Notamacropus eugenii: one gene and its partner. The protein of the gene in region 1 interacts with the protein of each later gene in a pairwise test. Links are inferred from orthologs where the notes say so. Each region holds a gene or a part of one and is shown on either strand. Other genes may lie near its edges.

Region 1 (7,948 bases):
ATTTCCAAAGTACTTTTACCATACTGGATCTCATTTGAGTCTTAGAACCTATGAGGTTTAGCAGAAGCAGTTGGCTCTAAGATATTAATGGGTGAGTCCGGTGGCAGAATCTGATCTAAAATCAGGACTTCCAAGTTCAGAGTACTAACTAACTCAACATGATCCCCAGGTCTCTCTCTACTTTGAGCAAATTACTTAATTGTAGACCAGAATCCTTTGTTTTTACCAACTCATGAAGTTTCTTAAACAGATACTCAGGAGGCTGCCAGAACTTGGCTTACAAACAGGAAAATAACCAGGATAATGGGGTTATGTATTTGATGATTTCATCGTTGCCCCAAGTCACACCTCAAACGACTCTGTTCCTCAGGAGGCTCTATGCAAAGTGACAATATCCAGGAGCACATATACTATAGACCTCTTGGAGTTTTGCCAGGAGAGATAGGCAAAGGAAAGATGGGGAAGAAAAAAAGAGAGGTGATCAGAACACACATTTGAGAAATTCTCAACCAAACATTACTATTATTGCTTCTTAAGTGAATTTCTCAAGGACTTGGAGTGAGGACTCTTCTGCCCTCTGTACCATTGTGGAACTAAATTAATGTCACCAAGAGAGCTAAAAAGATGGGGACCAGATGCATTTTTCATCTATGCTGGAAGAAGTAGCAGTCATGAAGACCCAAAACTGTGCAATTAACTCAATCTGCAATTGATGAGTTTCCAGAAGTATGGTCATTTGTAGCAAATAGGTCATCCTTCTTTTTTCCTCTTGGTGTGCTGAGTCCTTCTTCCAGACCCCTGTACATTTTGCCCCTGCCCTTGAACCAACTCACATTTAGATACTCTACAAGACTATATAGACACCTTCAGGTCAAGGAAGCTTTAAGGGTCCAATGGACTGTAAAGAGTTGCTAGCAAAATAATGAATTATAATAAAGGGGGCAAATATGTGCACATAAATTACTTTCATTCCATTGGGGTACAACATCTGAAATTATCTTTTTAAGGGTTGCCAAATTTTAGATCACATTCAACTCAACAAACATTTATTTTGCTTGGTACTAAGGAAGACACAAAGATCATCGGAACATGAACTTACAATGTAGTAGAGAAGGAACCACATACAACCACAAAACAAAACAGAACAAGATAAACACATAGGAAAGCTGTAAATCATGTGCTATGAAGGTCCAAGGAAGAATGTTTTCCATCTTGCAAAAGGCTTCCCAGAGGAGATGGGACCTGAGTTAAGATTTATAGGATTTGGAACTGGACTTAAGTATAAAATTCTCAATTCAACAAACATTTATTAAACATCTTCTTATGCAAGGCACTGAATTATACACAGATAAAAATAAAAAACCAAAACAAAGCAACCATCTATAATGGGGATTCAGTATGTACAAAGATAAGTAAGCAGAAAGTAATTCTCTTTAGCCCCTGAGAGCAGAACTCTAAGTAATGGATGGAATAGCAATCAATGGAAGAGAGACAGGTTCAGACTCAATAGAAAAATCTTCCTAAGAAGTAGGGTTAAGGTAGTAGTAGATGGCGTACAGGATCAAGTGCTGGACTTAAGAGTCAGAAGACCTGAGTTTCAATCCTGCTGTGAAATTTTTCTAGCTGTGTGATGGTAAATCTTTTAATGTCTCTCCAACCAAGTTTCCTCAGTTTTAAAATGGAGTAATAAAAAAACTCTGTTTTATAGGGTCGTAAAAATCAGATTTGATAATATAAATGGACTCTTACTGAGCCTAAGTGACAAATATGAATACAAAGAAGCAAAGAAAGATTTACATGTTCCAATGCAGAATGAAACAACATAACACTATCACTACAACTATATAAATGGAAAGAACAACAACAAAAAAAATCAAAAGTGAATACTGCAAAATTACAAATAACAAGCATGGCCCCAAAGAAGAGAAAGGATAAGACACTCTCACTCCATTCCTTTGTAGAGGTTGGAGGTCCACAAGTATAGTTAATTGTATACATTTTCATTTTTTTCTATGTATTAATTTTCGCTGATTTTTTCCCTGCCTCTGTTTTTCTCTTATTTGTTATATGGAAGGGGGTGGAGGTGTAGATTCTGGGAGAAATTCTGGTAACACAGAAAAACAAAATATACCAATACATATTTATTTTTTAAAATTGTGATAATACATGTGAAGTGCTTTATTAGCTATTATAATTAGCTGTCCCAAAGTGGATAAGTTACCTTGGAAGATAGCAAGTTCCCCTTTGAAGTAAATGCTGGATGACCAATTGTCAGCTATATTGTAGAGAGGATTGTTATTTAGATTTGGGCTGGACTTGATGGCCTCTGAGGTCCCTTGCAACTCTGAGATAATGTGATTTAGTTTGCTGGACATTGTTTATTTGGGAGTAAGGCTACTTTTCTTCTACAATTATTTTGTTTTTAAAATAATTTTTTAAATTGTTTTTTAAAATTATTTTTATTGGTTCCCTTTATAAATGATGTCAATTTCCAATTACACCCTCCTATGCCCTCACCCAATAAACAATTTCTTATAACAAATAATAACAAAATGAAAAAAAAAATGTAGTTCAGCAAAACTAACCAACACATCAACCCTACCTGACGGTATATGCAATATTTCACATCCATAGTCAATAAAGGGAGGCAAGTACATTTTCTCAGCTCTTCTCTGGAGCCAAGCATGGTTATTAATTACACAACACTGAGTTTTCTTTTTTGTTCTTTCTATTTACATTTTTGTGGATTTTTTTTCATATTCATGTTTTCATGAATTTTTCATGCTCATTCTTCCTTATGTTGAAAAAATACTCATGTATTCAAAGCTTTTCAGCCAATTCTCACTTAATTTCTAGTTCTTTACTATCACAAAAAATTTGGCAATGGCTAGTTTGTCATCTATTGGCCCTTTCTATCTTGGACCTCCTTGAGGTATATGCTTAATGATATTTCTGGGTTAAAAGGTGGGGACATCTTAGCTGCTTTTGTAACATAATTCCAAATTACTTTCCAAAATGGTTGGACCAACTCCACTAAAATGTAAAGCTAAGTCCTGATGAATGCAAATGATGAATCATATAAATAGTTGAATATATTTGAATTTACACTATTCCAAGATAAAATTATGTAAAATATGTTAACTGATTCCAGCCCAATTGAAATATGAAGTTAGAATTTGAATAAGCCAACTGCTTCACAATATCCATTCATTATTCATACTAACAGGGACCAACTTGCATTTTATACATACCTTATCATATCCTGTCCAATGATGGCTATTTCCATCATTCATCATCTTTGCTAATTCAGTTAGAATTCGGTAGAATTTAATATAGCATACCATGCCCCCTTAAAGATCCAGAGAGGAGGTCAGGGGGGCAAAGGAACTAGTGTACTTACGTTATCCTAGAAGCACATGGAAGTCTCCTATCAAAACCCATCCCTCTTTAGCTTTAGACTGGGGCTTGTGCCAACAGAAGAGAATGAGAGCCTGGCATTGGATCAGGTCAATGTCTCTGGACTCCACTGCGTTTGGGACAGACATCAGGCAGGAGGCAGTTCAGGCAGGCAGAATCTTGGAGACAGGAGGCTGCGCTGGGATTCACTGCAAAGCAGAAAGCAACTAGGAGAGCCCAGAGAAGAAACCAAAATAGACTCAAACTTAGAGCCGTCTGGTTCACCTTCTGTCTTTCTGCAAGGTCAGATGGGGCTCCCTACCTCCCACTTACACCTATGTGCATACACATTCCTGACACATACATGTTCACAGGTGGGTACGGGAGCTCCTGAGGGTCCTCAGAGGTGGGGTCTGCACAGGTCCAGGAAAGTTGAGTCAGGACAGACCCACGCTGTGCATACACACAGACACTGAGATGAGCTTTTGACCTGCCAGCTTTCCCCTACCAGAGCGCAGGTCTCTTGGGGTCAGGGCAGGTACATCAGATCTGAGGGTCAGTAAAGGGAGTTGTGTCTATCCCACAGGAAGCCCAGGCGTTTTTTCACATTTTCACATTCATTCCTGTGGATCTGACTGGATCAAACCAGTCAGTCCCAAAGAAAATCGAAAAATGTTAGGTAATAGACTCCGATTGCGGGACGAAGCATGTGGGCAGAGAGATACGTACAAAAGAACAGAACCTGGTGGGAGGGCAGAGGTCAAAGGTGGCTTCACAAAGGAGGCAGATTCCGAGACAGGATCTGTTCTGTCAAACTTGGCCTCTGTCCGAAGGCCGAACCCAAGGACCTAGAAGCCCCCAGGTAGCCTCGAGGCCGCAGGTCCCTTGGCCCTGCCCCGAAACAACATGCTCACAATTCTAGGAGAATTTCGCCATTTACAAACTGTTCCCGTTGCCAGAGCTGTGGGACGTGGGTGGTTTTATAGAAGCGGAAAGAAGCTCCAGAGGGGAGGCGACTTGCCCAAGACCACGCGGCCCTGCAACCCTCGAACCCTCGTCCCCCCAAGCCCACTGACGGAACAGTAATGCTCGAGCCCAGGAGGTCCGCCCGGCGAGGCTGGGGGTTCAAGTTTGCTTGTGGAACGGAGTAGAAAGCCTGGAACCTGAGACCAGCAAGTAACGGCGAAGACCGTGACCGCCTCTCAGGGTCACACTGAGGGGTAGGGCGCTTTGCTCCCTGGGATCCGTTCAGCGAGTTCACCGTAAGGCACTCTGGGAGATGTAGTTCCGCTAGTAGCGGCGCGATCAAATTCATTTTAGCCCAAGTTACGTGTAGCCCTCGCCTCTACTACAAAATCCCTGATCAAGGCCATCTTCCCAGTAGGTTTCTACGCAATTCCTAGTCTCAGTTTTGACCTCCCCGTTAAGGAATGAGTCATGCGTGCGCAACATAAACTGCTCCTTAATGCGCGTTCTGGTATTTCTCGCGGGAAAGGCAACAGTTGCATTCCTGGAATTGCGCATGCGCACGCGCACGCCCCTCCCCCTTTTCCCGGCGAGTCGTTCTAAGGCCGGCTCGCGCAGGCGCTGCGTCCCCAAGCCAAGATGGCGGCGAGGTGTTCCTCACGCTGGCTGTGGCTGGCAGTGGGGACCCCCCGGCTGCCGGCTGCTGCGGGGAAAGGGGCTCGGGTATCCTGGGAGGGCACCGTAGCGGTCTCTCTGGGTCGTAGGCTGAGCCAGGCAGCCATCTCGCCTCGTTTGGGAGTCTGCGCGTCAGGGAGACTCCTGACGTTGACACCCAGCGTCAGCCTCTCAGGTGAGGGGAGGCGTCGGCGCCGGGTCTGGAGGGCGAGGGAGCGACCTAGGGCGAAGTCACCCTCGCTTGGTCGGGACAAGTCGGGGAGGTGGGACCTGGCCACCGTGGGGCCCGGGGCCGTGTCCGAGGGAGCCGGCTGGGGGAGGGGAAGCGTGGCCCGGGCCCGCCTGAATGAGCCCGGGAGGCGGCGCCGGCTGTCAGCGTGTGACGGGGAGCCCGGAGTGGCGAGAGCGAGCGAGGGCCGCCCCTCGGAGCAGCCGGGGTGCGCCTCGGGCCCTCCTCTGGAGCGGGCGACCTTCCCCTGCGGGAGTGCGCCGGCGTCTCCCCAGGGAGCAGCGGCGTGGGGCCGGAGGAGGCGAACCGCAGCCTTTGGTCAGAAACGGCCGGTCCGGGAAGCGGGCCCCGAGGCTTCCCTTGGTTCCGGGGCCCTGAGTAGATCTAATGGAATAACGCGTATGAAGCCCACCAGGAGCCCTACAGCTCGGTATAGAAGCGAACTGTTACTGTGACGTTAGCCCACAGTGTCTGCCCCCACCACGTGTGCCTAGGCTTAGAGCGAAGTGAGCACGCAGAGGTAGCCAGTGGGAGAGTCAGGATTTGAACTTGAGGTCCTTTGACTCCAATAAGTTAGTAAACATTGCTTACTTTGTGCCAAGAACTGTGCCAAGAGCTGGAGTCACAAAGAAAGGAAAAAAAACCAGATCCTACCTCCAGGACGCTCACAATGTAATGGTATTAACTGGTTCTCTTCCACTGTGAGCCTGTGATCCATGATGGGAACCTGATTTTTCCTGTACATGTTTCTGCTTCTAGTCTCTAGCATACGGTTTCCTAAATCAGCCCAGAGTGTGTGTGTGTGTGTGTGTGTGTGTGTGTTAAACACACACACAGATACACACACGGAACACTTTATATTCTTTTTGCTGTTCAGTACTGGATGTAGAAGATGCTTGGTTTTTGTTGTGATGAGCATATCTCATATCTTTATATGGTGCTTCCCAATTTATAAGGGTGCTTCTCTTGGAACAACATTATGAACTGTAATTATCCCTGTTTCATTGATGGGCAAGATGAAATAATGTATGTAAAAGTACTTTGTAACTTTTTTTACACTGCATAGTTCTCAGTCAGTGCCCATAGTTACAAGGCTAGTAGGTGGCAGTGTCACTCTTAACTCAGGCCTTCTGACTGTACATAAAGCACTCCGCTCTGTACTAGGTATACAAACGGGAAGCAACAGAACCCTTGGAAATTGGCAGGCTTACAGTCTGATGGAGAAGCTAAGATATAAACCCCCCAAATCGTGACACAATGGACAGTAATAAAATAGCTAGCACTTATATAGTGCCTACTTTGTGCTATATACTATGTTAAGTACTTTACAGGTATCTTATTTTACAATTGAAGAAACTGAGGGAAACTGGTGAAGTGATTTTACCCAAGGTAGCTTAGCTAATCTGAAGCTGAATTTGACCTTTTCTTCCAGACTACAGCTCTGAGCTAAGAGGCATGAGGTATTGCTCTCATAGGGAAAAACATTGCTTTGGGGAGTTATGGAAGATATGGTGAAGGAGGCCTCTCTGCATCTTTTCAGGGACTTGTCAAGATTTTTGGCAAGTGGAAATGTGGAGGGAGTCCATTTAAATTATGGACCATAGCATATATAAATGCAAGAAGCAGGATGGAATAATGTCCTTAGTAGTATAAAGATAACCTTAAAGGCCAGGCATATTCTCGTAAAATAGTCACAAACTGATATCCCATTGTTATGTTTATAGTGTGTACTCAATAAATGATTTATACTTAATGACTTTTTGAGACCCATATTTTTTTTTCCAGAGTTAAAGTTATATTGTTTGGATATGAATCCAGAAGAGTTGACAAATGATAATTTTTTAGTATTCACTGTGTTCATGTCCTAAGAGTAGGCTCTTGGATATGGAAATTATATAAAGAACTTGAATAAATGGTGTTACGGCAGAATCATACTCACAATATCACCAATGCAGAGTTGGAAGGGACCTTAGAGGTCTGATGCCTTATTTTATAGATGAGAAATCTGAGAACTAGAAAGGTAGGTGACTTAGGATCATATACTCATATCTTTAGAGTTGGAAGGGACCTCAGAGGCCTTCTAGTTCAGCTTTGTCATTTTAGAGATAAGGAAACTGAGGCACAGAATGTAAACAACTTTTTCAAAGTCACACAGAAGTGTGTTTGGGTGAAATTTGAGCCCAGGTCCTCTGACTACTAATCCAGATCTCTCTTTAATCATTCTGTTTTACAATCCTAATTTTATTAAAAGACATTGAGTTACTTAGAGGCAACATGGTATATTGAATAGACTTGGCCTCCCAGACAGAAAGACCTGGGTTCAAGTCCCACCTCTGACACATACTGGCCATGGTGATCTTGGGCAAGTCACTTGATCTCTAAGTGCCCTCAATAACTCTAAGATAATAAATTGTAGAGGAGGTACCAACCTGCATTGGTAGAGGGATTGGGACTTTCTGATACCAGTGAAATACCAAGTCCATATTTTCCCCTGTCCCTCTCATTCTTATACAGTTTGTATTTGGGGACAGACCCACTAAAGTACCATACGTGAAGTTGAATGTAATAGGAGACTGAGTTACAAAATATCTAGTTTCACAATGTGATGTTTCAAATGTGTAATATTTATTAAAAGTACTGTATAAAGCTTAGCCAGTTTTTCTGATGGTTTTTCTTCTCTGT
Region 2 (8,198 bases), on another chromosome or scaffold:
TCCGACCCAGCTCCTCTTCCTGTAGGGCAAGGATGTCCTGGAGGCTCTGCACTCGAACCTGTAGCAATTCCAAAGTGGTACACAGGGCATCCCGATCCTCCTGCAAATGCTGGCCAGGGAAAGGAAATTCTTATCTACAGTAACATCTTTGTACTTGTCCCTAAAATGTGCCTACTTCTCCCTCCCCTCAGGTCTCTGTGTACCACAGGGTAAAATCCCCTTCTAAACTAAGGACTATTTCCCCCCAGAAGCTATGCATATTCATCAGCTCCAAAAGAATCTCTGTATCCACCTCCAATCTCCCAACCCACATCCCCATTTCCACCCCCCAAGGATAAAACCACTGAGCTTATCTCTCACCTGCACCGTCTCCAGCAGCTGCTTCCTCTCCTGCTCCCATGTCTGGTTCTTGCTTTCTGGTGGGACTTGATCCCCTACGTACCTCCTAAGCTGCTCAACAAGGGCCACCTGGGCCTTGAGATCTGAATGCGCCTTACTAAGATTGGTGAGTAGGAGTGAGAAAGTAAAGGCTATCAGTGAAAGACCCCAGAAACATGCTCTTCCTACATAGCTGCTGACTACTTTTATTGACCCTATATTCCTCCTCACCTTAGTTCCTCCCTTAACATCTTAGCCTCCCTCTGTACAACGGCCAACTCCTTGGTCTCTTTTTCCCTCTTAGATTCCATGGTCTTGAGTTTCTCCTCCAACTCATGGGCCTTGTTGGCCAGGGTAGCAAGAGCTTCCTGGTGAGCTGCGGTCATTTGAGAGATCTCAAGAAGAAAACAATGACAGAGCAGGGGCTGAATTGGAAGGAGCTTCTCATCTTTCCTCTAAAAGTTCCCACTTCCTCACTCAAACTCCTTCCTAGTGGCCTACTTCTCTTCGCTTCCTATCTCCCTTCCCTTCCTGGGCCTCTATTTCCATCTTCCCCACTCTCTTATTTTAATTAATATAATACCTGACAAACATGTATTAAATGGCTACTGTATTTAGAGCACTGTGCTAGGCATTGGAGCAGATATAAAATTTAGACTAAGAAATTGTCCCTGATCTCATCAAGTTTATAGTCCAAGGGAGGAATGACAGTGCTATGTGTGAGGAGAATGAGGAAAGTTGTGAGTTTGAGGTGTTTTGTTTATTTGTTTGAGCAAGAGGCATGTAATCTAGTTTTTAAAGAATGGGTAGGAATTCAGTAAGCAAGGAGGCACTTCAGGTAGGCACTGAGTACAATTTGAATAAAGGTATGGAAGTAGGAAAGAACAGGATATGTATGAAGGACAATCCAATGTAGCTGAAGCATATACAGTGTATGGAAGGGGGTAATATGAAATAAGACCAGAGGGTTTAGGCAGGCCCAGATTCTGGACAGTCTTGAAAGCCAGACTAAGGAGTTTTAACTTTATTTAGGCAATAGGGAACTACTGAAGGATTTTGAATAGAAGAGTGACTCAATCAAATATACATCTGACAAAGAATATTAGGAGGGCGACAATGTGAAGGATACATTGGAATGGAGAGGGAGGGAATAGTGATGGAAGAAGACATGTTAGGAGACTACAGCAATATTCTAGGCAGATAGTGTTTGGGGTCCATTTTAACATGAGTTCCAAAAGGAAAATAGGTAGAATATTTGAGTACTAAGAAGTAAATGAAAGTTTTGGGAGAGAAGCAGGATATCTGAATTCTGAGAAGTGGGGAAAGAGAACAAGGAGGATGAATGGAGAGAACCCTATCCTAACAGCCCCAGCCTGCTTCCTTCAGGTTCTGCTTTACTCTCAATTCTCAACATCTTCCTGGCCAAGCAGATTACTATTCTAATTGAATATCAAAGGATCTTTGCTAAAGTGATTATCTCAGATTAATTCCCTACCATGTGGAACTGAGACAAATCCCAACTAACACCTAGTATTTTCTTATTCTCATTCACCTGTTCCTTGTGCACCCTCTGAGTCTCTTCAAGCTCTTGTCTGTTTCCTTCTTCCAATTTCTTCCGAATGAGCTCTGCCCCAGCCAAAGCAGCACGAAGCTCCTCCACCTCAACCCGCATTGCCTGTTTTGCCTGTCCTAAGACTTCCAGCTCCTCACCCTGGCTTGCCAGATGAGCCTTCTGATGGACTGAAGCCAACCGCAAAGCCTGGCTCTCAATCTCAAGTCTCCGAATCTCTTCCAGTTGTTGAGAGATCATTTCAGTTCGGGAATTCAAGCCTTGTGGCCCTACATAGTCCAGGGACCTTTGGGGAAAGTTATAGGTGAGATATGGCCTCTTTGGTCTTACACAAGAAAGGGATGGACAAGAGGGCCGCTCTGTTTCCATCTAGGTAGTTATGAGGACTTCTCTGATCTGATATGTAAGGATAAGGAAGTGAAAAGGGTGCCTCGGGGGAAACTGGAAGTCAGTCAGACACACAAGAGGATGCAAAACCTGGAAACAGTAAGGATTCTGTGATCTACTCCTTAAACATTTACTTAGCACTTTTTATGTGTAGGATACTAAGCTAGATGCTGGGGATACAAAAAGGTATGTACCATAATCTATACCTTTAAGTGTACTTAACGGGCCTTATCCTAGTTGAGGGAAGGCATTCACATACGTAAAAAGATAACAGTTGCATCTATTGCATAGTTGCATCAATTAAGTGTACCTCATGAATGGTACAATGAGTGCTAGGATATCTGATTCACAAGTAGATGAAGACATTATGAATCTAAGAGTTCGGCTTGAGGTGGAAAAGGAAGGGATACTCAGTCTTCTGTGCTCTGGTTTGAGAGAATGAGGAGCCTGAACTCCAACCTGAGGTAGGGGCAGAGAAGGCAATGGATCCTCTTGTTCTAATGTGACAAGAATAGGGGCTGGTTAATAATTTATTGAGCATTTACGGTATAAATTCTCCTAAACCTTCTGAGAGGAGGCAATAAAAATAAAAGACATGATCCCAGTCCTTGAGAAACAGCTCTAATATCATCACAATGTTATTTCAGAATCCATGGCTGCCTTATAACAAAGTCCTTTGGTAATTCAGGAGCAAAAACAGTAGCGGACAGGATCTAAGATAGACCTGCCTGTAACTCCACTCTAAAATCAATAATTTTATTAAGACATTAAATTTAGAAGAGTCAGGATATACACGTGAGACAAGAAAAAATACAAAAGATCAAATAATACAGTTCAAATTTCATACACAAAAGCAGAAGGTACACAGAATTTTAAAAAATCAGAACTGTTTGTTTTCTATCTTTCTTACAAGGGAAGGCTTGTGGGGTAAGATAGGAGAGAAGGGTATATATGGAAATTAATGGAAAATAAAAGAAAAATCCATCAATTAAACTTTTAAAAATAATTAACACAGAAGTGAAGAACAATTACAGGCAGAAGCTAGAATAACTAGATCCCTACCTGGTCCTTCTTTTGGGATCCTCACTATCACCTGCCCCATCTTGTTCTCTCAAAATTTGTAGTCTATGATGCTCCCATCTACGATCATTGTTATCATAGCCGTGATGGGGTGAAGGCAGGACTATGGGTAAGGGTGGGGACTGGACAGAAGTGGTCCTGGACATGCTTGGAAGGGGCCGTGTTTGGAAATGAGATGGAGGCATGAGCCCAGTGAGACCTGAGTAAGCAGAGGACAGAAAGGTCAATATTGAAGGTATAGAAATAGGGTATGCAATCTCCAATTCCATAATCCATCCCTATCCCTTTTACCTGAAGACTGGAACATCCCAAAAGTGGATGGGGGTTCCAGGTTCTTTCTCCAGCCATCCATTTTTTCCTGTGGAGCAAGAGAAACACCTCAAGCTCCAATTCATTTTCCAAGGTTCCAACCAATCCCTGGGAAAGATCCTATGATAACCTTGCCAATTCCTTAGGTAATTTAACATCTATCCAGTTATCATTTCTTTCCTTCCCCTCCCCATCCCTATCACCCTCATTTTTGAAAGTGACAAACTGGAACATCTATGAAATAATCAGTGGCTGGCTCCCACCTAGCTTTGATAAGAGACTCCATAACACAAAACCCACGATAAAAAATAATTTTCTAAGGGAAGCAGGATCTAGGATTAAGGCCTCCAGACCCCTGAAGGTCTACATGGCATTCATAGGACTTGGGTAGCGCCTTTCTCTCCCCTTTGGGCTCTACTTTTCTTATTCTGTGATCTGAAGGTGAGTGAGCACGTACGGAATTAAAGGGCTAGGGAAGCAGCTCCACTGGATGGTTTGCTCAGGGTGGCCCCGGGGGTTAATCCCCTCCCCCCCACCATTATTCCCAACACTGATTTCCCACTCCCCATCAAAGAGTCAGCATACTGCTTGGCACCAGACGAAGTCTGTAAGATGCAGAGATCTCGAGTTACCATTAACAGCAAAGCAATTTTCGGAACCATCTTCCTGGGTGAGCAGGAAGTCTAACAGTCCTTTGCCCATGTGGGGCCTTCTGCTCATCTCTAGCCCCTGTTAGTTTGTCTTTCATCCCACCCTGATGCTCTCACTTTCTCTCTCTATGGCGCTTACCATCCACTCCAGCCGCCCTCCTCCCCGCCTCTCCTGCACCCCCGTGCCCCGCCCCCTCTCTCACCCACTTTGTTCCCCGTCCTACGCTCCCCCCTCCCTCCCTCTAATTTGCTCGGCCCGGGTCCCGTCACAATTGCAGCTCTCTGGCCGCCCCTCAGCGCCCCCGCTTCCCCCAAGCCTCCCCTAGCTCCTGCTCCCTCTTCCCCGGGCCCTTCGTGTCCCTCCTCGCCCCGTTCCTCGTCTCTCGGTGCCCCCTCGCCCCACGGCCCCAGACCTCCAGCACTTCCTTTGCCCTGCCCCTGTCCCCCTCAGCTCCCTAGTGCCCACGTTCCCTTGCCCCCCTCCACCCCTTCCCGCCCTCAACTGACTCACTCTCGTGCCCCCTTACCCAGCGCGAGACCCCACCCTCCCCTTGTTGCCCCACCTCCGCCACAAAGTACCCCGCCCTCCACAGACTGACCGCGCTTGCGCAGAGCGGGCCAGCCGGCGGGCTCCGGGACCCGCGTACTTCATTCGGAATGGGGAGGGAGGGAGGACGAATCGAGACACGCAAGCGCCGTGGCGTCCATATGGTGAACCAATCCAGGGACTCGGCCTATCCCCGCGCCCTTACAGATCCCTCCTCCCCACCGAGCTCCTCCTCCTTTCCCTGAAACCCGGGAAAATTCAATGGCCAATCGGGAAGCGAAGAAAGCGGTCGCGCCGGGTCCTTTTTGTGCCTTTCCTGACTACCGCCCAATGGGGTCTGGGCGATGGAATGAGGACTGTCCAATGGGGAAATGGCATCGGGAGGGGGCGGGGTATCTGAGGCGCGCGGAATTCGGGCCCGGGGAGTTTGCGAAGGTGTTGGACGCTCGCCTGTCCTCGGAGGCTCCGCCCAGCTCCGCTCCGGGCCCGGCTTCTGCCTGAGCCCTCTGCTTTTGCTAGCCCTGTCAAACTTCAGCCCGAGCGTGCGCGCGGGGGACAGGGTGGGGTGGGGGTCCTGTGGAGGGGGGACTGGGGTCCTAGCCTCCTCGGTCGAGGTTTGTATTGCCTGAGGGAGGGGCACGGCACGCTGAGATTGTCCGGCACTGATTGATCCGAAATTAGGCTGCCCGGGCTGGGGGGACCCGCGTTTGCATTGCTTCGGAAGCAGTAGGACCCCAGGTTTGCATTGCACTCCAGAGGGGAGGGAGGTAAGGGATCTTGCTTCGCTTTACTCCAGAAATAGGGATCCTCAGCCCGCATTTCCGGGGTTGCAGTCTTATCACCTTGAAAGGTTCTTAAGCCCCCTGACAAGAGTGAGGTGTTGAGCCAGGAAAGTTGCGGGGGGAGGACCTCTGGAAAAGTCCTTTTGAAAGAAAGGGCCCCCTCGCCCCCAATTGCACCGAATAACTAAGTTATTATTAAACAGTGGTGGAAACCGGCCTCATTACGATCCCTACTGTTACATTGTACCAACTGAGTATACAATAGTATCCAATACTCCGGGTGTTAGTTAGTTTCACGGGTTACGAGCCGGTCCTTAATTTAGCCTGATACATCTTCCCTAGTTTTGCATTGCACCGGGGATGACACCTTAATTTTTTTCTTTCAAGGCCAAGTTGTCCCCCTCGGTTTGCGAGCTGAATACCTTCCAAATTTTCGTTGTACTGAACCGAATTGCACAAGAATTGTACTCCAAGTTTGCATCTGAACATCTCTCCATTTTTAATTACCCAAGGGTAGAAAGAGCTATGTATTCCCTGACTTTAGAAGGGAGTCCATAGGGGAAAGCCCCTCCCCCCATGTTGCCCTGCTTCCAGCTGCTTCGCATGGGGGTTGGGAAGGGTGGAGATCTCTATACTTTTCACCCTCCCACTGGGGCTGGCTGTACCTACCACTTGGGCCTCAGAGCTGACCTGTGTGATGTGGCCCTTCGGCCCCAGTGTGAGCCTGTCCTCATCTCCCCGGTCCATGCCAAGCTGCATGCTGAAAGCCAAGGTGACGACTGGAGAGTCAGCCTGGAGGACTGCAGTAGCTACGGTGAGCCTGGACGTGGCTGGCTCTCTTTTTAGGCAGATAGGTATAAATAGGTATGGTATGATTTGAGAAGTACCCTAGGACCCAATTGTCATTGCCACTCAGATTCCTCCTCTAGATTAGACAGCAAAGATCAAAAGACTTAAGTTGTCTCCAAAAGGTACCTGCTGTCTGTTAGGGTGATGTGCTATATGTGATATGTGTGTATATGGATGAAAGCCTTTCAGAGCAGATTAATTCCATGGTTGAGTTATGAGATTAGTTCCATATTTATATTTTATTACAGAATTGTTGCATTTATCCCATGTCACTTGATCTTTAAAACAATTGTGTGAGGTTTCCCCATTTTATAGTTTTCTGAGATTCAGATTAAGTGACAATTCATGTTTCTATAGCACTTTAAGGTTTATTGGTCATTTTCCTACCAGCAATCCTGTGAAGTGTAGGGTAAATATTATAATCTTTGTTACAGGGACTGCTTACTAGGTAAGGGGATACAAATAAAGAAACTGGGTACTAACTATGCTTTGCCCAAGGTCACATAGTTAGTAATCGTCAAAAGGTTACTAGAGCTCACTCTTTCACACTCCATACACACTGCCTGTGTTTTAGCAGATCAGCAAGCTTGCTCACCTTGGAAAGTATAAAACAGGTCCCAAGGGAACTGTACACAAGATAACAATTTTATTGCGGAGCAAGAAAAAAGGGGGTGAGTGGGGTTCAGTTCTAGAAGAGAAGAGAAAAGGCAGGGAAGCTCTGGCACAGGTTTTCCAGGAGTTGGCAATGAAATTAAATAAATATAGGGACTTTTTAAGATCACATCTCCAAGGTACACTCCCTCTGCTGCTCACTATTAGTCCAGGTTCCCAAGGCTTTAGTATTTTTCTTTGTTACTTTGGCCTGACCATGTTGTTCAACCGTTTAGCTGTCTGACGTTTCATGCCCTCTGGACTTTTATCCAGGGGTTTTCTTGGCCCTTGCAATAGCCATTTCCTTCTACAGTGGATTTAGGCAAACAGATTAAGTGATCTGCCCAGGGTCACACAGTTTAAGAGACCAGATTTTAATTTAGATCTTTCTAACTCCCAACCTATCCACTGAGTCATCTAGCTGTCAATAGATTTCAGGAAAGGTTCCTTTTGATCCAGAAGATTTTTTAATGTTTGACCCAAAAGAAATAGGAGGTTTCTTCTGTGTCTCAGAAGCCTCAGGGAAGCCCTAAGGTCCCTATTGGTGGGAGGGGGGAATCCCAAAACTAAGATTGTCCCTGTTTGGAACAGGTCTGGGTGTCTAACTAGCCCCATTGGTTTCTTATTGTCAGTGAAGACTGAGTCTTTACAGAATATGATTTTAAAAGGACAGGGGAAGAATTACTAACTCTTTCCATTCTGTGCTAACTTTGTTAGGAAACCCCCAGGAGCAGTGAGCTGAGATGATTGGGGGAGCCAATCCCTTCAGTTTACCTGGAGCCAGGCAGGATAGGAAACTAGAGAGAATGCCTAGTTATGCCTGTGAACTCATCATTTATAGAATCAAGGTCCTGATTCAAATTCCAGCTTGTTTCTTACTTTGTGTGTTATGGAACTCTGGGCTGGTCCCTTTCCCTGCACTAAAAGAATGATTAAAGCCCCTTTTAGTTTTAACAGTTTACAAAACAGTCCCTGTTGTCAAAATGCTTGAGGTT

The links.
Region 2: the proteins of DNAJA3 (region 1) and TCF19 interact in a two-hybrid assay, tested with the Homo sapiens proteins (2 studies listed by BioGRID and IntAct). The two-hybrid records come from large-scale screens. The link is inferred for Notamacropus eugenii from reciprocal best matches to the Homo sapiens genes DNAJA3 and TCF19.

What each region holds. Positions count from the first base shown.
Region 1 is NC_092872.1:58,884,972-58,892,919, forward strand, and holds the start of DNAJA3 (dnaJ homolog subfamily A member 3, mitochondrial), read left to right. Parts: upstream 1-4,948; 5' UTR 4,949-5,001; coding exon 5,002-5,212; intron 5,213-7,948. UniProt on the Homo sapiens protein: Modulates apoptotic signal transduction or effector structures within the mitochondrial matrix. Affect cytochrome C release from the mitochondria and caspase 3 activation, but not caspase 8 activation.
Region 2 is NC_092873.1:85,011,626-85,019,823, forward strand, and holds the start of TCF19 (transcription factor 19), read left to right. Parts: upstream 1-5,024; 5' UTR 5,025-5,659; intron 5,660-6,090; 5' UTR 6,091-6,279; coding exon 6,280-6,517; intron 6,518-8,198. Other genes in the region: CCHCR1 (coiled-coil alpha-helical rod protein 1), read right to left, coding at 1-109, 361-496, 610-773, 1,931-2,234, 3,398-3,614, 3,707-3,773, 4,310-4,444. UniProt on the Homo sapiens protein: Potential transcription factor that may play a role in the regulation of genes involved in cell cycle G1/S transition. May bind to regulatory elements of genes, including the promoter of the transcription factor FOXO1.